Oryctolagus cuniculus: one gene and its partner. The protein of the gene in region 1 interacts with the protein of each later gene in a biochemical or structural test. Links are inferred from orthologs where the notes say so. Each region holds a gene or a part of one and is shown on either strand. Other genes may lie near its edges. The genes, in order: TOM1 and TOLLIP.

Evidence for each region.
Region 2: the proteins of TOM1 (region 1) and TOLLIP form a complex in vitro, tested with the Homo sapiens proteins (3 studies listed by BioGRID and IntAct, with this or other methods). The link is inferred for Oryctolagus cuniculus from reciprocal best matches to the Homo sapiens genes TOM1 and TOLLIP.

What each region holds. Positions count from the first base shown.
Region 1 is NC_091442.1:112,890,605-112,902,775, forward strand, and holds the start of TOM1 (target of Myb1 membrane trafficking protein), read left to right. Parts: upstream 1-5,741; 5' UTR 5,742-5,848; coding exon 5,849-5,900; intron 5,901-12,171. Other genes in the region: HMGXB4 (HMG domain-containing protein 4), read left to right, coding at 1,084-1,206, 1,335-1,445.
Region 2 is NC_091432.1:2,060,315-2,071,863, forward strand, and holds part of TOLLIP (toll-interacting protein), read left to right. Parts: exon of another isoform or gene 1-1,045; intron 1,046-2,064; coding exon 2,065-2,214; intron 2,215-5,207; coding exon 5,208-5,390; intron 5,391-6,179; coding exon 6,180-6,332; intron 6,333-10,113; coding exon 10,114-10,204; intron 10,205-11,549. UniProt on the Homo sapiens protein: Component of the signaling pathway of IL-1 and Toll-like receptors. Inhibits cell activation by microbial products. Recruits IRAK1 to the IL-1 receptor complex. Inhibits IRAK1 phosphorylation and kinase activity.

The DNA of each region.
Region 1 (12,171 bases):
AGCCGGGACTCGAACCGGTGCCCATACTGGATGCTGGCATCGCAGGTGGTGGCTTTATGCTGCGCTGCAGTGCCAGTCCCAGAGCTCATTCTTTTAAGGACTCTGCTGTGCTGCCTCCTAGGGTGACTCCTTGCAGTGCCTGTAGTTAAAGCGGGTTGTGCAAGCGCTGGGCAGGGCTATGTGCAGAATGCAGATTTCTTTCTCTCATCTCTTTTAATCACAAATGTACAGACAATTTGAACTACATAGGAGGTTAAATTTTTTAAATGAACCCAGTTCTCTTCTTTTTGGGAGTAAAAACCTCAGCCCAGCAAAATGGTGTCTTCAGCTGTCAAAAACCACATAGTGGGAAAGTCCTTGTGTGTTTATACTAATGTGAATGCGAGGGCTGGCGCTGTGGTGTAGCAGGTGGGGCTGCTGCCTGCAGGCTGGCATCCCATGGGCGCCGGTTTAGGTCCCGGCTGCTCTGCTTCCAACCCAGCTCTCTGCTGTGGCCTGCGGCAGCAGTGGAAGATGGCCAAGTGCTTGGGCTCCTGTACCCATGTGGGAAAGCTGGAGGAGGCTCCTGGCTTTGTATCAGCCCGGCTCCAGCCGTTGGCGGCCATTTCAGAAGTGAACTAGCGGATGGAAGACCTCTATCTCTCTGCTGCCTCTGCCTCTCTGTAACTCTGCCTTTCAAATCAAAAAAAAAAAAAAATCTGGATGCGAAGGGTTGTGGAATTCTCAGAGCCGTTACACTTGAGCTCTGCCTGTCTCAGGTGTTCGTCACGGGTGAACGTTTGCACGTGGGACCTCGCAGCAGCCCCCTTCAGTAGGAATGGCACAGGCATTTTTCACTGTTGTGTTAAGGAAGGAGCAGTTAGTGACTTCCTCAAAGACAGGTAGGAAGCAAGATAGATTGGAACACAAAGGAGTGTATCATCTAAGTTTCCTTTTTGAACAGTGTAGAGTAGTCTAAGTAGAGACCCTCCGTTTGTGCTGGAACTTTCCGGATTAGAACTGCGCAGGAGTCACAGAACCAGGTAAGGCGGTCGACCAGAACAGAGCGAGCATTGGGTTCGAGTCAGCCTCCTCTCCTTCCAGGGCATGGTGGCTGTGTCTGGTAGCTTGTCAGTGCTTCTGGATTCCATCATCTGCGCGCTGGGCCCCTTGGCGTGTCTGACCACACAACTGCCTGAACTGAATGGCTGTCCCAAACAGGTCTTGGTGAGTTTTCCCTGTTTTCCTTGGATTTGAAGGGCAGACTCCTTGGCACAGGGTGCCTCCTTCCTCCGTCAGCCCCAGGGACCCGTGTCGATCCTGTTTTATTAAATGCATGCTGTTTCCCAAAGCAGTGCTTTGAAGAGAAGCAGTCTCGCCCTGGGGTCCTGCAACTCCTGCAGCTCCTGTTTGCTCTTCTACCAGAGACAGTGCAGGGATTTTCTGCTGTTTGTTACTGGGATTAATGAGAGAAGTCAGCAGAAAAGCTCCTAGCATAACAGACAACAGGATGCCATCTTCATTCGCATCTGTTTTCTCTAACTCCACCTCTTCCTTCTCATCTCCTTCCCCTGAACAAAGTACCGTGTCTCAGGAAACCAAGACCAACTGAACCGTTTTTCCTTGTTTTGCAGTCAAACACACTAGACAACATTGCTTACATCATGCCTGGACTGTGACAGCAAAGCATCCTGGGACAGAAACCTTGTCCTATCCCCTTGCTGGTTTGTGTATATATAACTGTTCCAGACCCCTCCGCTGGCCTCTGGGTGTAGGTTTTAAATTTTTATATATCTATACACACATATATATATAATGTACAATATATACATAGGACTGTAACTATGTTGCTTTTAATAATTTGATGAAATGACAAAGGTTTAGCCAAGAGGAAACTTTGGCTTGAATGTGGGCTTGGGATTCTTTTTTCTCCTATGGTGGACAAATCTGCCTTAAAAATCAGTGTAACCTGGGGGCTGGGGGCTTGTCTGGGTGCCAAGTGCATCTCTTTACGGACAGCTAAAATTTTCTTTCCAAGCTCAGCTACACCTCCAGACTCATCACTGACCATTTGCCTTACCTGTCTTACAGTTAGAAATGTGATAGAAAAGATTATGGGAGGAGGCCAATTGACTGAAAGTACAAAACCTTTCAACCTGAAGTGACCTAGGTGGGAGGTGACAAAACCATTCCCATTGTAGTTCTTAAGATGGCTTGGGTGAACTGAGTAGGGGTTCATTCCAGTTCCTACAATACAGGCGTCCATGTCTCCAATCTTATTGTAATCATTGGTACCATTGGTGGCCTCAGCAGAGGCCGCAGAGTGAATTTGAGCCCTGGCAGCAAAAACTACCTTAGAAAGGACAAAGCTGCTGGTGCCACCAGTTGAGCCTGCGCGTGCTCTGAGCTGACCCAGAGTGTCTGGTGTGCACAGCTGAGAGCTGGTGTGTCTCGTTGGCAGCAGTAGGTTGGCCACAAAGTCCTTGCAAGGTCTGCTCTGCCCAGTAGTTGTGGAAGGTAAACCTTGCCCGGCGTGATTCCTGGGCCCCTCTTACTCGTCCCGCTCTTGGGCAGATGCGGTCTGTTCTGCATTCCACATGGAAGTGAACTGCAAAAAAGTCTTCTCATGTGGGTTTATTTATATACGTGTGTGAATGTGTGTTTTAATTATGTGTATTTAACTCTTTAAAATCTCTTAGACCTTAATTTATCCTGTAAATTTCTGTGTTGTATATATAATTTAATAACAAAGCCTCCACCAGCAACAGCATGTGGAAGACACAAATTTATCTTTTCTCCCTTTCTTCCTCCCCCGATCTGTTCCAAAACTCCCAAGTCGTCTACATTTTAAGGTATTGTACCTCAAAAAGGAATCATTATGTGGGGATTCTGATTCTTTATGAAGAACTTCATGGCCTCCAATAATGTCAGGAAAGTGGAACAAAAAGGCCTGTGACCGTGCCCAGCTGCCCTGCCCTCCAAGACCAGGCTGGGGCTTCCTAGTGGCTGAGAGAGAGCTGAGCACTGCCTCCGAGACCCAGCGGGAGGTCACCGTGCTTCCCTCTGGCCTGGAGGGAGTTCCGCGGCGTCCAGGTGAACCTGCGGTGCGGTGCAGCCAGCCTGCCGCCTCCTCCCCACAGTGGTTCGCCAGGCTGTGCTTCTTGAGAGTGTTCTGTCTGCTGAATTCCTCTCTCGCCCACAGCACATTGTGAATCAATGCGGGAGGCAGAAAGAGAGACAGGGATGTTTAAGAACCAAAATCAAGGACAGAGTCAGCTGGAGCGCAGGTGTCAGGGCCGCAGTACCGGGTCAGGTTCCTGTTTGACACAAGGTGATGGGGCAAGGAGTGGGGCTGGAAGAAACCAGTCCTGCCGCTGTCCTTTGTGTGCGTTGATGAAATCCTGGGGAGGACCTGCTTTTTGTTTGTTTTCCTTTGAAACCCAGCCCTATTGTATTTGTATTTAAAATTTGTACACATTTGTATAATAATCTGTACCTTGTGGTATTTGGTACTACTAGAGGAAAATCTTTGGATTCAGACCTTCTTGCAGTTTTTATATCATTGTTTTATTTTGTTTTTTTAAATAAATTCTAGTGGTTTGATCCAAATCCCATTACGGTTGTATAAAGAAATAAGATTTTGTACTTATATTATTAAAAACCACATTTTTAATATTTGTAGTCCAGTCTCGACTATCTTTCCTAATCATGTTAATCATGTCTGCTACAAAGTTATAAAACCAGTTTTCACATTTCATGCTACTGTAATTTTCTTAAATAAATAAACCTAGAGCAGAGGTCAAGTTCCCAATCTCAGCCATTTTCCTAACACCTAACTCTGTTTTATATTGATTTTTTTAAAAATATGTATTTGCTTATTTGAAAGGCAGAGTTACAGAGAGAGAGGGAGAGACACAGAGATCTTCCATCTGCTGGTTCATTCCGCAGCTGGCCACAACAGCCAGGGCTGGGCCAGACCGAGGCCAGGGACCGGGAGCTTCCCGGGCCCAAGGACTTGGGCCATCTTCCTCTGCTTTCCCAGGTGCATCCAGGGAGCTGGGTCGGCAGTGGAGCAGCGGGGACTCCAGCCAGTGCCCACGGGGATGCTGGTGTTGCAGGCGGCAGCTCAGCCTGTTAGACCAACGCACCAGCCTCTCTGTATGGGTTTTCTGTTGTAGAAACTTTCATTATCTTTTGCAAACTGCAAATCCAGTGAATTTAGTATTTAATTCTATCAGCAAGTGAGACTGTACGTTGTGGTGTTAGCCTGAATAAAGATGACACTTGGGGCCGGCGCTGTGGCACAGCGGGTAAAGCCAACACCTGCAACACCAGCGTCCCATCTGGGCACCGGTTCAAGACGCGGTTGCTGTAATTCCAATCCAGCTCCCTGCTAATACACTCGGAAATCAACAGAGGATGGCCCAAGTGCTTGGCCCCCTGCACCTACGTGGAAGACTTGGAAGAAGCTCCTGGGTTTGGATCTGCCCAGCTCCAGCTGTTGTGGCCATTTGGAGAGAGAGCTGTGTGTCTGTCTCTCTGTAATTCTGCCTTTCAAATAAATAAACCAGTCCTCCCCCAAAATAAAACAAAGATGTGAGTGCTGTGTAAGGGTGGCACCTGAACGCTGTGGTCCATTCCACGCTATGCAGTACTGCCCTGGCTCAGTTAGCGATGCCGGACAAGCCATGTGAGCGGCCTGACAGGCTTCCGGAGTGCCCTCTGTAAAAGTGTCCGTGTCACTGCCCTGGCTCCAGGCCGCCAGCCAGCCAGCCTGACGTGCACGTTTCATCATATGGACCTGGGTTAGATGGAGATTTGACCGGTTTTCCAAGTTCAGATTTAAGCATCGCATCAGGATCAGTGGCCCAAGCGCCCAGGACAGCGTCGGGAATCCACAGACGGCGTCTGTAAGGTGCAGGTGGCGTCTCGCACGTGGTACACAGCCAGGGACACGAAAAGATACTGGATCACAAGGCTAGGCAAGGCCTTCGAGATTCCTAACTTGGAGGCCACCCTGTGCTACAGGGACCCCAGTAATAATGAGGTTACAAGCAAAACTGAACCCACTGCCTTTTTTTCTTCAGAAAGTCTTGTGGCTTTCATCAAATTCCCAGAGGAGCCTGTGACCTAAAAAAAAAAAAAAAAAAGTGCCAAGTCCTTGATCTAATTCCAGGACCCAGAGGAAATGCAGCTGGCTGTTTGGATCTCACAGATGAACGGCAGAGCTGGGTACCACGCGCCCTGCCCGCGACTGCATCTGTGAGCTCGCAGCCGTGCTGGGCGGTAGCCAGCCGACGCCCTGGACTCTCAGTCTCCAGGGGACACACACCCCTGCCCCTGGACTCCTCCTGGAGGTCCGCGGATTGGGGCTACAAGAGCAGGGACGCCTCGACATCAAACGGGAAGTCAGGGCAGGGAGGCAACAGGCACGCAGGGTGCGTGTGCGGTCGCCGCAAGGTCCCAGGGTCCACGGGCTAAGACGCCAGGAGCGACACTGAGCGCCTGACCTATGTAACCACACCCAGGTCCTGTCCCCGACGTGCAGACCTGCCGGCCACGCCCCCAAACCTTAATTGACAGCCGGGGGCGTGGCCTAAAGGCCCGGGCTTCCAAGCCCCGCCCCCGGCCCGCCGGAGAGCGAGGCGCCAGGCGGATCGGAGTCAGAGGCCACGAGGTCAGCGCCCTCCGCCGCGGGGCGTCGGCCTCTCGCGAGTCGGGGCGGGGCCTGAAGCCGAGCGCCGGCTCCCTTGGCCCCGCCCCCACGGCCCCGCCCCGCGGGCGGTCCGGCGCGTCACGTGACAGATTGGCGGCGCTGGCGGTTGCTGTCAGCTGATTCCGCGGGTTGGTAGCAGCGGCTGCCGCGGCGATGGACTTTCTCCTGGGGAACCCGTTCAGCTCTCCGGTGGGACAGCGCATCGGTGAGCTCATGGAGCCCCGCACGGCCCCGCCCCAGCGCGCCGCACCCGGCCTCGGTCCCCCGGGAGCCTTCAGGTCTCCAGTCACCGACTCCCGGAGGCTGGCGTGTCGCTCCCCCGAGCCGGCCCCGCCTACTCTCCCGCCCACCTCTGATTGACGGGAACGTGGGCCTTTAGGAGTCCTCGGCTTGTGATGGATGCTTACGGCAGCCAATAGATGACTAGGGAGGGCGGGTCCTGGCGGAGGTTCAGCCAATGTGCGGCTGCCGGGGTCCCGGGTCGAGGGAGAAAGTTTTCGGGGTTAAAGGGACTGCGTGGTGGTGCAGTGGTTGGGTCGCCGTCGATCTTCCCCGCGTTTCCCACCGCGTCTTCCTCGGCCAGGGTCCCCGCCGCCAGGCTTCTGGACCCGGACACCTGAGAAGGGCTAGACGTCCCTGCTCCCAGGACCGCGTAGACCCGGGCTTTGGCGTCTGGGGGCGACCTGCGGGAGGCGGTACCGGGCGCCCCACTCCCCCCGGGGCCCCGAGCGCTTGCAGGCCGGGGTCGTAGACCCAGCTCTCAGCGGTGTGTGCCGCGGCTCCTCTCACCGGCCAGCACCAGCTGGACCCGAGAGCCGAAGCGACCTCGGAAGCCACGCGTCGCGGCCAGGGCTTTGGGGCCGCCGAGCCCGGACTCCCGCTGCTTTACAGCCCTGGTGACCGGAGCCTTATCTATCGCGCTGTGACGCAGCGGCCGGCCCGAGGTCGCCTCGCCGGTAACGAGGGCACTGAGGCCTGTGTCCGTGGGCTCCAAGTTGAGATTCGCGAACCAGCACCCAGAACACGGCCTGGCGCAAGGCCTGCGCTGTATGACAGCAAGCCCCGCCAGGTGGGGGGCGCCGGGCAGCCGGCAGGGGCCGACCCCGGGGCTTGTCCGAGGAAGCCTCCAAGCGCTGTGAGAGGCTCTGCTGGTCCTTTTGATGGCTTTCAGCCTTCAGGCCGGAGTGGGGAAATTGGATCTTTTAGATAAGACATTGTTTTCCGTGCTCACTGTCTTGGAAGCCGGCTCCTGTCTCCTCCGCCCAGGCTGGAATGGCCATCGCAGCCCTTTGTGGCTCTCTAGTGGTTTGGTTTTGTTTATTTGTTTGTTTCTCTCCAAAGCAAGGGTTCTGGCAGTGTGGGGTGCACACGGGCCTGGGTGGGGGGCGTGGTCTCAGAGGCCCAGCGCCTGGCTTCCCGCAGCTCAGAGGGCCAGTACGCACGCCCCACCCCACCGTGAGTCATTGTTTTGGAGCTGAAAAGCTCAAGCAGCTCCGGTCTCACTCCTGGGCCCCTACCGGGGAGTGTCTGACCTGGGAGGGCACGGGTGGAACCCACCCCAGGGTCCCCAGGGTCTGCATTCGGGAGGCCACATCTTGGAAAACTCAGTTCTAGCCCAGCTCAGCTCCCTCCCTTCCCATGAGAGTAGCCCCCCCCCCCATGATAGCAGAGCTGAGACCCCCCACGAGCCGCTAGAATTTCACCCAAAACTGCAGAGGCTCTCCAGCCCAGTGAAATGGACACACACCACCGAGGTCACGCCCTCTGTGTTCTATGTGCCTCTTTTAGAAAGAGACGGGGTGCTGCTCATCAGCTGTGAGGATGGATGACCTGGTAGGATCTACTTGTGTTTCTGGAAGCCAGGCTCATCCTGCAAAGTGCAGGGCATCGACACCTCCTCCCTGAAGCCCTCCCGGATCCTGTCAGACCCGCCGTTGCTTTCTTGCTCTCCCAAGCGCCCAGCTCCCTGGGCCACTGGCTTCCTCCCCTGGAGAATGTTGTAGGCTGGTCCCCACAGAGTGCCTGGCACAGTGCTGTTGGCAGTAAACGTTCGCTCTTGCTGTCATCAGCCTCGTCACTTTTGTTTCCACCATCAGCACCCTGAGCCACTGCCGTGCCTGTGTGTCTCCCCGTGCCCACCGAACGGCACTTCCAGAGAGCGGGAGCTGCGCCGTGGGTATGGACGCTCAGTCCCTAGCGTGGGGCCTGGCGGGGGAGGAAGCTGGCGTTTCTGAGCCAGGGCCGGGCCCCCGACGCTGTGCTGACACCCGGGGTGTTGTCCGCAGGTTTTACTGTTTTCCCCGTTGCCCCGGAAGTCAGCCTGAGGCAGAGAGCACTGGGCACCCGGGGTCTCTCCACTGTTCAGGGTCTTCCCTTGGCGCCCTCAGCACGCTGCCCCGGGTGCCCAGTGCTCCTGTGGGGTGGGCAGCCCCCCACCCCTCCAAGATCACGGCTGGGGGCCACGCCCTCTGTGCCCCTGCTGTGGCCACAGCCCTGCTCTGCAGGAGTTCAGACCTTCGCCGGGTCTTCTCCAGGGCTGTGTTTAACGGACAGATGTCAGAAGTCAGCCATGTCTGGCGCTTTGAGTCCGAGCCCCAGCGGATGGGTGAACGTGAGCTGCAGACCACAGGGACAGCCCGTGTGGGCTGCCCGGCAGATGGAGGGTGGGGATGGTGGCTGGCTGTGCCCGGACAAGAGCTCAGCACCTCTTGACTGAACGCTGAGATGGAAGAGGCGGGGAGGAGAGGCAGGGACAGCCGTCCTCGGATCACGGGGGCCCAGCCAGGGGAGCCACAGAAAGGACTCCTGGGAGACCACCTCGGGCCCTGGGGGGCCGGCGTGGGAGCCATGGGCTGGAAGCTGACGTGGACCCTCACGCATGGTCGTGGCAGGGTCACCAGGCTGCTCCTGGGTCACACTGCCTCTCCCCCCATCTCCTATCCAAGACAGGGGGCGCCCCAGTCCCCCTGGGTGGGGAAGAAGGCCGCGATGGCCGGGAGGGATCCGACAGCAGGGAGGAGAGAGGTGACTGCACCAGGCTCCGGGAGCGCAGATGTGGCGGGAGGAAGAGCCGGGGCGGCTGAGGAAGACGCCGCCTGAGTAGTGAGCTCCCTGACAGCAGTGGGAAGGCAGCGGCCGGAGGGGGAGGCCATGAAGGGGACCCCCGCACTGGCCCGGATCAGACTCCTCGCACCCAGCTCTGCCCTGGTAGCGCAGAGCCGGGCGGATGGGTGTGGCTCTGCGCCCCCAGAGCTGCACTTAGGCGGGCCCTGAGATTTGAATTTCGCGTGATTTCCACATTTGACTTTTGTCCCAAGCCTCTGACAGCGTGAAGACCATCCCCAGGCCGCAGACCTCCAGAAACAGGCTGAATCGGGCACGTGGGCTCGTCGGGTGGGCGCTGCGGGGTCAGAGCGGGGCGGAGGCGGGGCGGAGGCCGTGTGCCTCAGAGAGGGGCCCAGGGCCCTGGGGAGCGAGTGCAGGAGCCAGATGGGTGCCCAGGTGTCCATCTCGAGGGTGAGGGGGTTGTGTGGACAGAGGGCTTCGCGTCGGCCGTGTGCCCAGCAGGAAGGCCCGGGGCCAGCGCGAGGAGGACCACGGGGTCCTCACCCACTTGGGCCCCAGGAGCAGGCAGCTCAACCTCTGGTCTCCAGGCGCCTCACCTGACAGAGGCTAATAGCAGCGCCCCCTCTGGTGGGTTGCGGGGCTGCTGCGGTGTGGGCGCCTGGCCCAGGGCCCGCCATGGGGGGGAAGGTGTCCTCTCGGGGCCACTGCATGAGCGGGTAGCGGCCGAGCTAAGGTGCCAGGCCAGGGCACTGAGTGCCGGGCAGCCTCTGTGTGAGTCTGTGTCCCTGGCGAGGGAGCAGTCACAGGTCAGGTTTCAGGCCGGGGGGAGCCCGGTGTCACTTGGGGATTAGGGCCTTTGGATCAGGATCCTGAATAGGTTTTGTTCCTTCAATGAGCTCAAAGAAATAAGAGTCAAGTCCCGGAATTCCAGTCTCTTGGTTTTAGGAAAAAAAAAAAATACAAAACCCCTCTGTTGTCTTCTCACTGGCTTGGGGCAGGAGTCAGGACAAGTTAACTCTTTCTGTCCTTGCCAGGGAGGTCCGATGGGGCGGGTGCTCTCGGAAGGCCTCCGTGGTGTGGGCGCCCGCCCCGCCCCCCTCCTGCCACCTTCGCCGCTGTCCCGTGGTGTTTGTATCCAGCCGGCTCACCTGCTGTAAGCTGGCCCACCGTGTATAACGCGAGCTGAGGAATCACGGCTTCCGTGGGCTGCTTCGGGCTTTGCTCCGGCTGCGCGTGAAGATACAGACGGAACTCTGCCTGTGAGTCAGTCCCCTAGCAGCTCCTGGTGGCCCATTTGGATCTCTTGGATGCAAGCAGCTTGGAACTTAGCCTGGGCGCGGGTTCAGGTGCCGGCTGCATCCCTCCTTGCTGGGTACCCCCCCTCTGGGGTCGGGGTGAAAGCCCTGAGGAGGGGCCTGGGCTCTGCTCCCATGGAGAGAGGAAGGGAAGGGCCAGCGGAGGGAGGAAGCAGCCAGACTGCGTGGCCTAGAGTCACGGAGAATTTAGACAGAGGCGCTCGCAGTTTGATTCGGGCTTGTTTGTGCGAGTGCAGGGTAAACCCTGCGGCGGTTAGCTGAGTGGCCGCTGGACTGGGCCGCAGTCCCCAAGTATTTGGTCAAGCAGCGTGCTGAATGTCTCTGATTTAAATCAGTCGACTCCAGCAAAGCAGTGTGGGTGGGCCTCACCCAAGCAGTTGAAGACCTGACTAGAAAAAGACCAGCCTCCCAAGAAGTCGCTGTCCTTGAACGGCTGGAGCCGTAGCCAGCCTGCCCTATGGGCTTTGTACTTGCCAGGCCTCTACAGTCTCCTGAGCCAATCCTTAAAATAAACCTCCATCGCATGCTCGCTCGCTCTCGCTCTCGCTCTTTTCTTTTGGTCCTGTTTCTCTGGGGAACTCTGACTGAGAGAAGTCCCTCTCCCTCGCCGCTGCTAGCTTGTCAGTAATATCTTTCATACTCACAAGTGGGAGGACATCGTGGTAGGGGCAGGCATTTGGCACAGTGGCTAAGTTGCTGCTTGGGACACCTGCGTCCCCTATCAGAGCGCCTGGCTTCCAATCCCGGCTCCCCCGACTCCAGCTTTCTGCTAATGCACCCTGGGAGGCGGCTGGGAGACCCGGGTGTTTTCCAGGCTTCTGGCTTTGGGCCAGCCCAGCCCCAGCTGTTGGAGCATTTGCGGGGTGAACTGGTAGATGGAAGAGCTCTCGCTCGCTCGCTCGCTCGCTCTCTCTCTCTCTCTCTCTCTGCCTTTCACATAAATACAAATTATTTGAAAAATGCCATCTACACCTCTGACTTCAGAGCCCTGCTGCCTCTCACTGGGCGGGGCGGGGCGGGGCGGGGCAGCCCTCCCGCACCCCACTCACGGGGTCTTCAGCGAGGGGCCAGAGTTTCCTCCATCACTTTCAAGTCGTGGGTTGCAGAAGTAATGCCCTCCCTAAGGTATTTTAGGGCTGCGCTTGTGGCCTGTGGTTAAAAATGACAGGGGAGAGCAGCCAGGGCTTTAAGGAAGGGCGGCTCCGCTGCTTGGGAAGCTGCTGGCACTTCCCATGCCAGGGCTGGGAAGAGTTGTGCACTCGGCAAACAGGCGTCAAGACAAGCCGCTGGCTGCCGCTTCCGGTGTAGAGCCTAACGATTGTTCCAAGTTTCTAGCTATTTATTTTGAGACTCAAAGAAAGAGACAGAAACTGACAGGTTGAGAGAGAGTTCCTGTCTGCTGGTTCCCTCTCCCGTACTCAGACTGGCCAGGGCAGGGCTGGGCTGAAGCAGAAGCCAGGAGGCTGGGAGCCCTACCCAGGTCTCTCGCGTAGGCGGCAGGCGCCTCCCCGGGTGCAGCTGGCAAGGAGCTAGTCCGAGGAGGGAAGCCGGGACCGGAACCCAGGCCCTGCCATGTGGTCGTGCCTATCTTAGCTGACATCTTAACCACTGGAATTTCTGAGCAGGCCTTTCATGGTTGATATTTTTGTGGAGGATGACGTTAGTTCTGTCCCGGGTGGCTACCACGTGCTTGAAGACACGCGCTCTTGTCTCCTCACACAGCCCTGGCCCGCGAGAGCGCAATGGTCCCCATTCTGTAGAGGAGGAACTGGAGCACAGAGAGGCCAAGGAGCTTGCCCAGCGTCACACAGCTGCGGGGTACTTGGGGCAGGGGCAGGCCTCGAGCTGGGTGCATAGCCGAGTGTTCGTATCCCACACTCCTAACTCACCCCCCGCTGCCCATCAGAATTGAAGGGATCTTCACTGTCTGTCCAGAGTGAGCTTGTGGGGGGTGGCTTTTTCCATAGTCCTGCCTCCCGCCCCCATGGATATCAGCTTCGTCCTGATGCTCTGCCCGTGTCCCTGTGAGCAGGAGCTGCCCTGCACACCTCCTCCTGGGTCTCCGGGGCCAGGAGCAACTCCCAGGGCCTGGTG
Region 2 (11,549 bases), on another chromosome or scaffold:
AGCCAGGTACTTATCCTGGTCTCCCATGGGGTGCAGGGCCCAAGCACCTGGGCCATCCTCCACTGCAGTCCCTGGCCACAGCAGAGAGCTGGCCTGGAAGAGGGGCAACCGGGACAGAATCCAGCGCCCCGACCGGGACTAGAACCCGGTGTACCGGCACCGCAGGCGGAGGATTAGCCTAGTGAGCCGCGGCCCCGGCCAAGATCAGTTTAAAGGCTGGTCTGCTGTAGGTGGGCTGAATCTGGAGTTCAGCCTGCAGTGTCCTTGGCGAGGCCAGAGCCAAAGAAGGCACCGGCCTTGACAGCCTGTGGGTCACACGCTGCCCACCTCTGCTGGAACTGCTCAGTGCTCTGGGAGCCGGCGTCTCCTCCTGTGTCTGTTAGGTCTGCAACTCGGCCTGGGCTGTGCTCCCCAGGCCTGAGCTGGGACACCAGGCGAAGAGACAGACTCTCAGGGGCTCCTGAAGTGACACCCAGTGCCCTGGGGGAGGCGTGCTTTCTGGTAGTGCTTTTTTTTTTTTTTAAAAGATTGATTTATTTATTTGAAAGAGTTACACAGAGAGAGGAGAGGCAGAGAGAGAGAGAGAGAGAGAGAGAGAGGTCTTCTATCTGATGGTTCTGCTGCAACGGCTGGAGCTGCACCGATCCGAAGCCAGGAGTCAGGTCTCCCACGCGGGTGCAGGGGCCCAAGGACTTGGGTCATCCTCTACTGCTTTCCCAGTTACATTAGCAGAGAGCTGATCGGAAGAGGAGCAGCTGGGACTCGAACCAGTGCCCATATGGGATGCCGGTGCTTCAGGCCAGGGCGTTAATCCGCTGTGCCACAGTGCTGGGCCCAGCTGGTAGTGTTCTGAGCACACAATATGGAGCCCACCAGACTGAAGAACCTTCTGGAACCCTGCCTGGAGTCTTGGGGAGACCATGGTCCAGGCAGGCTCAGGGTCTGGTCTGTGGGGCAGAGGCAGTGGGGTTCTGCAGAGCCCCTGGGTGTACCGCATGCTCCTGGCCTCCGTCTGGCCGTGACACACGCCACTTACTTCCCGGCAGGCCCCTCGGCTCTGGGGCTCACGGGTCAGCAGCAGCCAGTGCCCTGAGCACAGCCCCTCCCTCCATGGTAGTTTCTTGGCCCAGAGGCCGTGACCTGTGTCACGGAGGGGCGGTCTTCCCACTGTTCACCGCGCCCGCCTGCTGAAGCCCATGCAGGCTCCTCAGGCAGTGTGGCCATCTTGAGGACCCCAACGGACCCCTGCCCTCAGCCCTCCTGCCGGGGACCCCAGACACTTGGGTCGTTTCTGGCCGCCATTGCTTTGCCGCGAGTCCCTGCAGTGTGGCCCCGGCGGCTCCTGCACCATCTCCTTTGCTTCTCTCCTGTGTGAACCGCTCCTGGGGTCACTTGCAGGCGTCCCTGCTAATCCTCGCTAAAGTCTACTCCTGAGTGTTTGGGGTCCTTCGAGTTTCTCTGGAATTCATTCCCTGGGGTGTCTTTCTCCTGCCCCAGTAGCTCCTCTGTGTCCCGCCCTCTCCCTGCTCATGGTGGGGGTGCTGGGCGGGGCCCACCTAGCCGCAGGACCCCTGAGAAGGAGGTCAGATGTCCACAGGGCTTTGTCTGGGTCTGTTTACTTCTTGTCTTCTCCTGGGACAGTTCTGCATCTGGACTGTCTCAGGTGTAGGCGTGGCTGCGCGCCAGCGCACGGGGCTCGCAGATGACCTTGGCCAAAGATCAGATCTCCTCTCGCTCCTGTCTGACCGTGCCGCGCGTTCACTGACCTTGGCTTCAGTGTGGACACGCGGAAGGGAAGCGTGTGGGCGGCAGCCTGCCAGGCCTGCCTGGGGGAGCGGAGCCTGTGTTCAGTGGCAGAGGCGGCAGAAGCTCTCCGGGCGGAGGGACGACGGCCCTTTGCTGATGGTCAGGGTGCAGGCGCTGGAAGGGCTGAGCACCGTGTGGGGCTTGGAGAGGAAATGGGTGGGGGTGGGGGCGCAGACTGGGCCCTGGGTGGAGCCCAGAGGCTGCAGTTTGCACCGGGCTCCCGGCATCTGACGCCGTCTCCCGCCCTCGCCCCGGCAGGTGTACATCGGGGAGCTCCCGCAGGACTTCCTCCGCATCACGCCCACGCAGCAGCAGCAGCAGATCCAGCTGGACGCCCAGGCCGCGCAGCAGCTGCAGTACGGAGGGGCGGTGGGCACCGTGGGCCGCCTCAGCGTCACCGTGGTGCAGGTGGGCACTGGCGGTGGGGGGGATTCCTGCTGGACAAAGGGCACCTTGCATCTGGGTGTGCCGACACTCACATATGATGCTGAGTGACGACCGATTCCGGGATTCTGCCAAAAATAACTCGAGAGTTGGGTGATAACGGTTGCTGGACGTCGGCCCTGTGCCAGACCCTGTTCTTCCACGGGGCAGCCGGGGGTGGGGGGCTCAGAGCAGCCCAGTGCTCCCTCGGCCAGCTGAGACAGCAGTGTCGTCACTGTTGTGTCCAGCGGTATCGCCGTTGCCGCCGAGCTAAGTCCTATTAAAACGAAGGCAGCTTGGCAGTCGGCGCACAGTGGGGCGTTTAAATGCCCTGCTTACAAGGCGTGCAGGCTGCCGGAGCTGCGGAGGCCAAGGGCCACTGTGTGCTGGGGGCACCGTGAAGACTGGTCACCTCAGTCCCTGACCTGCGCAGGCCCACGGGCTGCAGGTGGACTGCAACACTGAACGTGGCTCGCTCACACCAAGCGCCCTGTGAAGCCGAGCAGACGTGCAGGGCCTCGCGGGTGCAGGGGGCTTAGGGGGCCATCATCAGGGGACTCCCGCGTGCTGGCCTGGAACTTGCTGCTCACTGGAGCCCTGGGCTGCCACCTCCTGGTGGGGTGCTGCAACTGCAGGTGCTCGGGTCCGAGTGCCTGGCCGGGCTCGCAGGGGCCTCCGCGGTGCCCGCTCCCTCGAGCTCACCACAGGCTGCCTGTGTGCTATGGCGGTGCCAGGCCCTGGTTCCTGAAGAGGCCTCCTGGTCGCTTCCCCAGCGTTTCCCTTCCTTTTTGGGAACCCTTCTTCTGTCCAGGCGGCTACACGTCTCCTGGCTGCCTCCCCTGGAGGTCTCCGAGCCCCACGGCTGCCCTGAGAGCAGGTCAAGTCTGTGCCCTTCTCGTGCCCCAGGGCCTGTGAGCGTGTGCAGACCTGGCCCCTGGCGCCACCCCGTGCGGCTGGGACTCCTGCAGAGCACGGCACTCACGCCCTCCCTGGTGTCTGGTCAGCCTTTCAGACGCATGCAGCCAGGTGGCCGTGTGTCGTCTCCTCCTCGCCACCCTGTCTCAGCACAGGCCGCAGCCCGGGCCCCTTCATCTGCCCCCAACCCCATGCCCTGTCTCAGCACAGGCCGCAGCCCGGGCCCCTTCATCTGCCCCCAACCCGTGCCCTGTCTCAGCACAGGCCGCAGCCCAGGCCCCTTCATCTGCCCCCAACCCCATGCCCTGTCTGAGCCCCCCATGCCCACTCTGAGCCCCCCATGCCCACTCTGAGCCCCCGTGCCGTGTCTCAGTGCAGGCCGCAGCTCCGCTGCCTCTGTGCTCAGCTGCTAGAACAAGGCTGGGGCTGGTTGCTCCCCGCATGTTCTTCGCACGCGCCGGCAGGGAGACTCCGCAGGGCTGGGGGAAGTCAGCTGCGGTAGATGTCTGTCACTGGCCCTGGAGGGTGGAGTCATGTGGACCAGAAGCAGGTGTAGGGGAGCAGGTGGACAGGTTAGGGAGGCCAGGGCTGGCAGCGCGGGGCTGAGAGCAGACTCCCAGGTAGGACTGGGCAGGCGTGGCTGTGGGGGCTGGGTGAGGATGGCCTCCGTCCTGACCACGGCAGGCCGGGCTCGCTCACCCTGTGACGTCCTGGAAGGCCCTTCTGTGAGCAGGCCCGAGTGGAAGGGTGCGGGGAGGCCGTGGGGTCCGTGCAGGGCAGAGGCCTCTGCTGGAGTCTGAGGAAGGCGGGCAGCTGGACAGGGCGGTGCCGGCAGCGGGGTCTCTGCCTGCAGGCACCACCGCGTGTCCCTGAGTCCTGACGCGTCACAGGCCCCTCCCTGTGCTGAGGACGGAGGACTCTGCCCGCCCTTCAGAGTCCCTGCGTCAGCAGCTGGCGCCCTGGGCCTGCCGGGCCCTGGTGGGTGCCGTGGGTGGCCTGGTCTTTGTGGAGTTTCAAGGAGGCATCACAGCTGCGCGGGGCTGTCTGAATGTCGGCTGCCTTCCTCGGCCTGGGGCCTGGGGCCTGCCGTGGGAGCCGCCCCCCAGCTTCCAGTGACGGTGCCGCTGTGCTTTACCACGGGGTGCTGAGCCGGCCGGGGCTGGGGCTGGGCTCCGGCTGGATTGGGGGAGCTGTCTGTCTGGTGTGTGGTCTCACTGGAGTGTGGTTTGCACTTCCCTGATGGGGGTGCTCAGCATCTTTGCCTGTTGGTGACCGATATTTCCTCCAGTCTTGGCCTGTTTTCGCTGGGTGCTCTCCCCGTTACTGAGACCTGAGCGTCCTTCGATGTCCTGGCTGCCAGCCCTGCATCACGGGAGACTTTGCAAAGCACTTCTCCCGTCTGTGGTCCCTTCGTGTCCTGCGCGGCCGCTCTGAGCAGCCTCTGAGTTCCGGTGGGAGTGTGGTTTGTCAGGGTCCTCGCCGTGGTCTCTGCTTTTGCTGCCTGTCCTGACCAAGGTCACAGTGTTTTCTCGTGGAGGTTTCTGCCCAGACCTCTGTAGCCGCTTCACCAGCAGTCTTAGCTGCCGGAGCCGCGCGTCTCGCTGGTGCAGTCACCAGCCCAGCGCCGTCGCGCATCTGGGCCCAGCCAGCCTCCTCCTGCCCGACAGCAGGGCCTGCGCTCTGGGAGGTGTGCTCGCGTGCTTCAGCCCCTGCCCCTGCGGCCCACCCCCCGGGGAGGGGAGAGGCTGGGGGCTGCCGTCTCTGAAGCGCTCCGGAGCAGGTGTCCTGAGGCCCGGCCTGTGGCCCCTGGAGCCTGTCGCTCTGCACCGTGTCAGCGGTGCCCCCAGCCAGCGGGGGGAGGCCGAGCAGCCCTCCTCGGAGGCTCTGCCTCCTGGCTCTGGTGCCCTGGAGGATGAGGTCCGGCTGTGTCCGGGTGAGTCAGAATGGCTGTAACCCGCACCCCTGGGGCAGGCCGGTGGGAGGGTTCCAGAAGGCACAGTTTGGGTGAGCGTCCGGCTTCTGCCCTGACGCTCGGGGCCTCGTTTTTCTGAACTTGATTTCAGGCAAAGCTGGCGAAGAATTACGGCATGACCCGCATGGACCCGTACTGCCGGCTGCGCCTGGGCTATGCCGTGTATGAGACACCCACGGCCCACAACGGTGCCAAGAACCCACGCTGGAACAAGGTCATCCAGTGCACGGTGCCCCCGGGGGTGGACTCTTTCTACCTGGAGATCTTCGACGAGGTGAGCGGGATGCCCGGCTGTGCCGGGGGCAACACTGTGCCGTGCGGGCGCCTCGGCCGCGTGCTGTCGACAGGCGCGCACACCTGCACGCTGTCCCACTGCCTCTGGAAAAGAAGCACCCTTCTCAGCTCCTTGACAGCGTTTGGAAACAGTCACCAGTGAGACACACTGGACACTGGGCAGAGTGGACCTGTCCCGTCCCTGGGCTCAGCGAGGTAGCTGGCCGTGTGGGCGAGCTGCACCTCTAGGGAGTCACACGCGTGGCCAGGAGCGCCTCCTGAGTGTCCCTGAGCCGTGTCTATGCACGTGTGCCTCAGGTGGGATGTGGGGGGCCCTGGTGGAGCCGGGCTCAAGGACAGCAGAGGGGAGGGCGTGTGCAGCTGGCTCTGCCTCTTGCCCCTGCCCGACCCCCTGGCTTTCCCTCCAGTGGCCCCTGGGAAGACAGGGAGCATGTGGGGAGCCTGGCAGGCTGTGGGGACGTCACAGCAGCGTCCCCTCCCGGGACATCAGGGCTCGTGGGTGGCAGCCAGGGGAACAGGGCCAGCTGGAGGGCAGAGGAGGGGCAGCAGGCGTCGCTGGGCTAGGGCAGATGGACTGCAGCCCAGAGGGAGTCTGTCCCCGTCCTCAAGCCTGGCCCTGCCCCCTCTTCCTGTCCTGGGAGGGGAGCCCAGGACCGTTTGCCGGTGGTCCTGAGGCGTGCTGCTGGGGAGGCGGCGGGCTGACAGCCGTGTTTCTGGGACACGAGGCCTGTGGGCCCCCGGGAGCTGACCTCCCTCCTGTCGTCCTCAGCGAGCCTTCTCCATGGACGACCGCATCGCCTGGACGCACATCACCATCCCCGAGTCCCTGAAGCAGGGCAAGGTGGAGGACGAGTGGTACAGCCTGAGCGGGCGGCAGGGCGACGATAAGGAGGGCATGATCAACCTGGTCATGTCCTACACGGTGAGGCTGGGTCACGGGGTCACGTCCTGCACAGGGAGGCCGGGTCACGGGGTCACGTCCTGCACGGGGAGGGAGGGGTCACGGGGTCACGTCCTGCACGGGGAGGCCCGGGTCACGGGGTCACGTCTTACATGGTGAGGCCCGGGTCAGCAGGGTCATGTCCTGCACGGGGAGGGAGGGGTCACGGGGTCACGTCCTGCACAGGGAGGGAGGGGTCACGGGGTCACGTCCTGCACGGGGAGGGAGGGGTCACGGGGTCACGTCCTGCACGGGAAGGCCCGGGTCACGGGGTCACGTCTTACATGGTGAGGCCCGGGTCACAGGGTCACGTCCTGCACGGGGAGGGAGGGGTCACAGGGTCACGTCCTGCACGGGGAGGCCGGGTCACGGGGTCACGTCCTGCACGGGGAGGGAGGGGTCATGGGGTCACGTCCTGCACGGTGAGGCCGGGTCACGGGGTCACGTCCTGCACGGGGAGGGAGGGGTCACGGGGTCACGTCTTACATGGTGAGGCCCGGGTCAGCAGGGTCACATCCTGCACGGGGAGGGAGGGGTCACGGGGTCACATCCTGCACGGTGAGGCCCGGGTCACGGGGTCATGTCTTACATGGTGAGGCCCGGGTCACGGGGTCATGTCCTGCACCGGGAGGGAGGGGTCACGGGGTCACGTCCTGCACGGGGAGGGAGGGGTCACGGGGTCACGTCTTACATGGTGAGGCCCGGGTCAGCAGGGTCACATCCTGCACGGGGAGGGAGGGGTCACGGGGTCACATCCTGCACGGTGAGGCCCGGGTCACGGGGTCACATCTTACATGGTGAGGCCCGGGTCATGGGGTCACGTCCTGCACGGTGAGGCCCGGGTCACGGGGTCACGTCCTGCGTAGGGCTGGAGTCTGCTCGGGGTGGCCTGCTCACACTCTCGGACCCTCTGGGTGGTGCCGAGGCCAGGGGGCGGGATCCCTGCGGTGGCTCCAGGGCAGCCGTTATTCCTGAGGACAAAGACCAGAGGCCAGCAGAGCGCAGCAGCAGGGGAGGACGCAGGCCCTGGGCTGGCTGTGGGCGCTGCCCCTCCCTGCCCCTGCAGCCTGGACAGGCAGCGCCCTGTGTCGATCCTGGGCAGGCAGCGTGTCTTGTCTCGGGCCCTGCTGTTGGTGTCAGGGTCCCCCAGGGCCTGAGACGCGGGCAGAGGGATGGATGGTCCTGGGGCTGCCGCGTGGTCAGGTCTGCTTTTCCCATCAGGCAGTGACGGGCGGTGAAGTGAGGAGGCCGCCCTGGCTGTGCTGGGCGGGGCCCGGTGCCTTGGGCCCCCCCGCCCCGTTCTTTTTTTTTTTTTTTTTTTTTTGACAGAGTGGACAGTGAGAGAGAGAGAGACAGAGAGAAAGGTCTTCCTTTGCCGTTGGTTCACCCTCCAATGGCCACCGCGCTGATCCGATGCCAGGAGCCAGGTGCTTCTCCTGGTCTCCCATGGGGTGCAGGGCCCAAGCACTTGGGCCATCCTCCACTGCACTCCCGGGCCACAGCAGAGAGCTGGCCTGGAAGAGGGGCAACCGGGACAGAATCCGGCGCCCCGACCGGGACTAGAACCCGGTGTGCCGGCGCCGCAGGCGGAGGATTAGCCTAGTGAGCCGCGGCGCCGGCCTCCCCCCGCCCCGTTCTTGAGGTAGCTGCGGCTGCTGGGCTCCTCGGGTCCTGGGTCCTGCCACCTCCTTGTAGCACTCAGGGCTTTTTTTTTTTTTTTTTTTTTTTTTTTGTTCAAAGATTGATTTGAAAGGCAGAGTTATGAGTTATGGAGAGGAAGAGAGGGGTCCTCTGTCTGCTGGCCCAACCCTGACTGGCTGTGACGTTTGAGCTGTGGGTACAGGGTCCTGAACCAGGCCCCTGGCTGTGACGTTTGAGCTGTGGGTACAGGGTCCTGAACCAGGCCCCTGGCTGTGACGTTTGAGCTGTGGGTACAGCGTCCTGAACCAGGCCCCTGGCAGGCAGCATTCATGTGTGCTGCCGTGGCCATGTGGCCGTGTGGGAGGGGCCCTCGGGGAACCTGCTGCCTGGTCCCCAGGGCTCTGCCCCCAGCCCTCCCCTCCTCTGGGTGTGTTTGTCACTCTTGCTGTAAACCACAGCCGTGAGAGTGATGGTGTCTGAGTCCCAGGGACCCCAGCACAGTGGTGTCCTCACGTCCCCATCTACTGCAGAAAAGGCAGCAGCGACGCGCGTGTGTGTGTGGACACCTGCTGCGGCAGCCATGTGTGTGTGTGCGTGTGTGTAGACACCTGCCGCGACAGCGACGTGTGTGTGTGTGCGTGTAGACACCTGCCACAACAGCGACGTTTGTGTGTGCGTGTGTAGACACCTGCCATGGCAGCGACGTGTGTGCGTGTGTGTGTGTGTGTGTGTGTAGACACCTGCCATGGCAGCGACGTGTGTGCGCGTGTGTGTGTGTGTATGTGCATGTGGACATCTGCCGTGGCAGTGCGTGGCAGGTGCGCGGCAGCTGGTGGGGCAGTCCCTCCCTTCCTCTCCTCGTGGGAGACCCGTCTACGGCTCCCGGAGCCTCTCCCGATACAGCCTTGGCTTCTCCTCTGGGAGGACCAGGCGGCCCGCGAGTCTGCGTTGTCTCCTGGGGAGTGGTGTGGGCGGCTTCTCGGCGTGCTTGGTGCTGGACCTGCTGTCCTGCGTGGAGACTTCGTCCCCTCCGGAGGCGCCGCACTCTTAGACTCCTGTGCTGATTCAGCGCCGCTTCTGTGTCTGAGCCTGCGGCGGGCGCGTCCAGAGCTGGGCCTCCCAGCGCTGACCCCGTCCTTGCCCCGCTGCCTGGGGGCTCCCTCGCAGGGGCCTCCCGCCAGGCCCCGGGCGAGCGTCTGTCCGTGCCTTCCTTCTCCCCTTCTCCTCCCCAGCCAGGGGCTCCTGGAAGTCGGGTCAGACCTGCCGTGTGCTGAGCGCAGCTAGCACGCTGGGACCTCAGGGTCACCGCCCTGCCCAAGGGTGAAAACTCAAAATAGACCTCAGGAGACTAAACCGGCGCCCTCTCGGGCGTCCAGACAGCTCATTAGTGGAACGTGATCCGTCTCCACGCCAGGCTCGCTGGCGTGCACAGTGAGGGCGCTGGCAGGTAGTCCTCGCTGGGTGTCTTTGTTTCCAATGGTGTTGCTGGCTGGGGCTTGTTCCTGTCACACGTGAGAAGTCGTGATCAATAAGCTCAATGAAGTGTGGAGTTTGGGCTGAGCCAGACCGCAGCCGAGACCCAGGAGCTCCGCCTGCGTCTCCCACAGGAGTGGCAGGAGCCCGAGCGCGTGAACCGTGAGCCGTCGTCTGCTGCCTCCCCGGTTCTGCACTGGGAAGCCGGAGTCGGAGCTGGAGTGCAGCAGGCTTCTCACTCAGGCCTCCCCGTGGCGAACGCCACGGCGCTACAGACGAGCCACAGACGCCAGCGTCACGGACACGGCGCTACAGCAGTGCTGGTGTCGGGGCTTGCGCGTCCGTGGTCCATACGCACGCAGGGCGGTGCCGCAGTTAGCCGAGGGACCTCCCGCGCTTCAGCTGTGCTCACTAAAGCCTGCGCCTCTGCTGGGGCGCTGTGGGTGTCGTGGCTTCTGAAATCCACACTCCTGTGTTTCTGGTCTCGCTCTGGGCACACCCCGGCAGCTCAGCCCCGCAGCAGTGCCAGTGCGGCCACCCTGGCGGGATTTGGTGCTGTGAGCTCGGCCTTGCCAGGACCATGCGCTGGGATGGAGGCTGGGAGCGTGCCGTGGGTCTCCCTGACAGCCGCTCGGCTTTGGTGTTCCAGGCTCTGCCAGCTGCCATGGTGATGCCGCCGCAGCCCGTGGTCCTGATGCCGACCGTGTACCAGCAGGGAGTCGGCTACGTGCCCATTGCAGGTGAGTGACCCCTTCTCTGGGGCTGGGCGGAGCAGGCACGGGGCAGGGAGTCCTCGGGGGAGAGCCCTCCAGAGGTGCTGTGGTGCCCGGAGGAGTCTCGTGCCTGTGAAGATGCTGTGGTTTATTTTACCCCGCAGATACGGTGAGGTGTGGAGACGCAGTTTGTACGGGAGCCAGTGAGGGAGCGGCTGCTGTGGGGGAGGCCATCCCCTGTGTGCGCAGCGCCTGGGGCAGCACAGCCGACGTTTCTGTTCCCCTCGGTGAATTCCACTTGTGGCTGTGACGGCGACTGTTGCCTGACCCAGCCTCCCGCCATAACAGGCCCCGGAGCTGGGCGAGTGGACAAGGCCACAGCTGTGTCCAGCAGGCAGGGAGGCTGCGGTCCAAGCAGAGGGAGGAAGGTGGCCAGAACCCCGGGGTAGGGCCACCGGGGCTGTGGGGGAGGCTCCTGGGTCCGTGTGGCCTCGGCACTGAGTGCTCAGAGCACTGCCCAAGGGCAGCGGCAGGACAGGCCCTGGGGCGGCAGCCAGGGCACACCAGCACCCCACTGTGACACTGCAAGGCCCTGCGGGAGCCGGGACCCCGTCCGGGGGCAGTAGAGCTGCCCCGGGCCCTGGGGACTCTGGAGCATGCTGGGTAGGAAGCCCAGGTCATGGGAGTGGCCTGAGATGGCCCAGACACGAGGACAGCTGGACGGAGGGGGAGGTGGAGAGGAGGGAGTCTCGGTAGGGAAACTCAACTCCCCGGACCTGGTGGGAGTTCTTCACAGGGTGCGGTGACCGGAGCTGGGCCCACAGCCCCGAGGGGCTGACTCTACCTGTCAAAAAAAAAAAAAAATGAAGACCACCGAGAGTAGTTTTCTTTTTTTAAATTTGTTTGACAGGCAGAGTTAGAGAGACAGAGAGAAAGGTCTTCCTTCCGTTGGTTCACCCCCCAAATGGCCGCTAAGGCCGACACTGCACCGATCCAATGGCAGGAGCCAGGTGCTTCTCCTGGTCTCCCATGGGGTGCAGGGCCCAAGCACCTGGGCCATCCTCCACTGCACTCCCTGGCCACAGCAGAGAGCTGGCCTGGAAGAGGAGCAACCGGGACAGAATCTGGCGTCCCAACCGGGACTAGAACCCGGTGTGCCGGCGCCGCAGGCGGAGGATTAGCCTAGTGAGCCGTGGCGCCAGACTGGTGTTTTTGTTTGTTGTTTTAAGATTATTTATTGGAAAGAGTTACAGAGGGAAAGAGACAGAGAGAGCCCCCGTCTGCTGGTTCACTCCCCAAATGGCCAGGCTGAGACCAGGAGCCGGGAGCTCCAACCTCGTCTCCCACATGGGCGGCAGGGGCCCAAGTACTG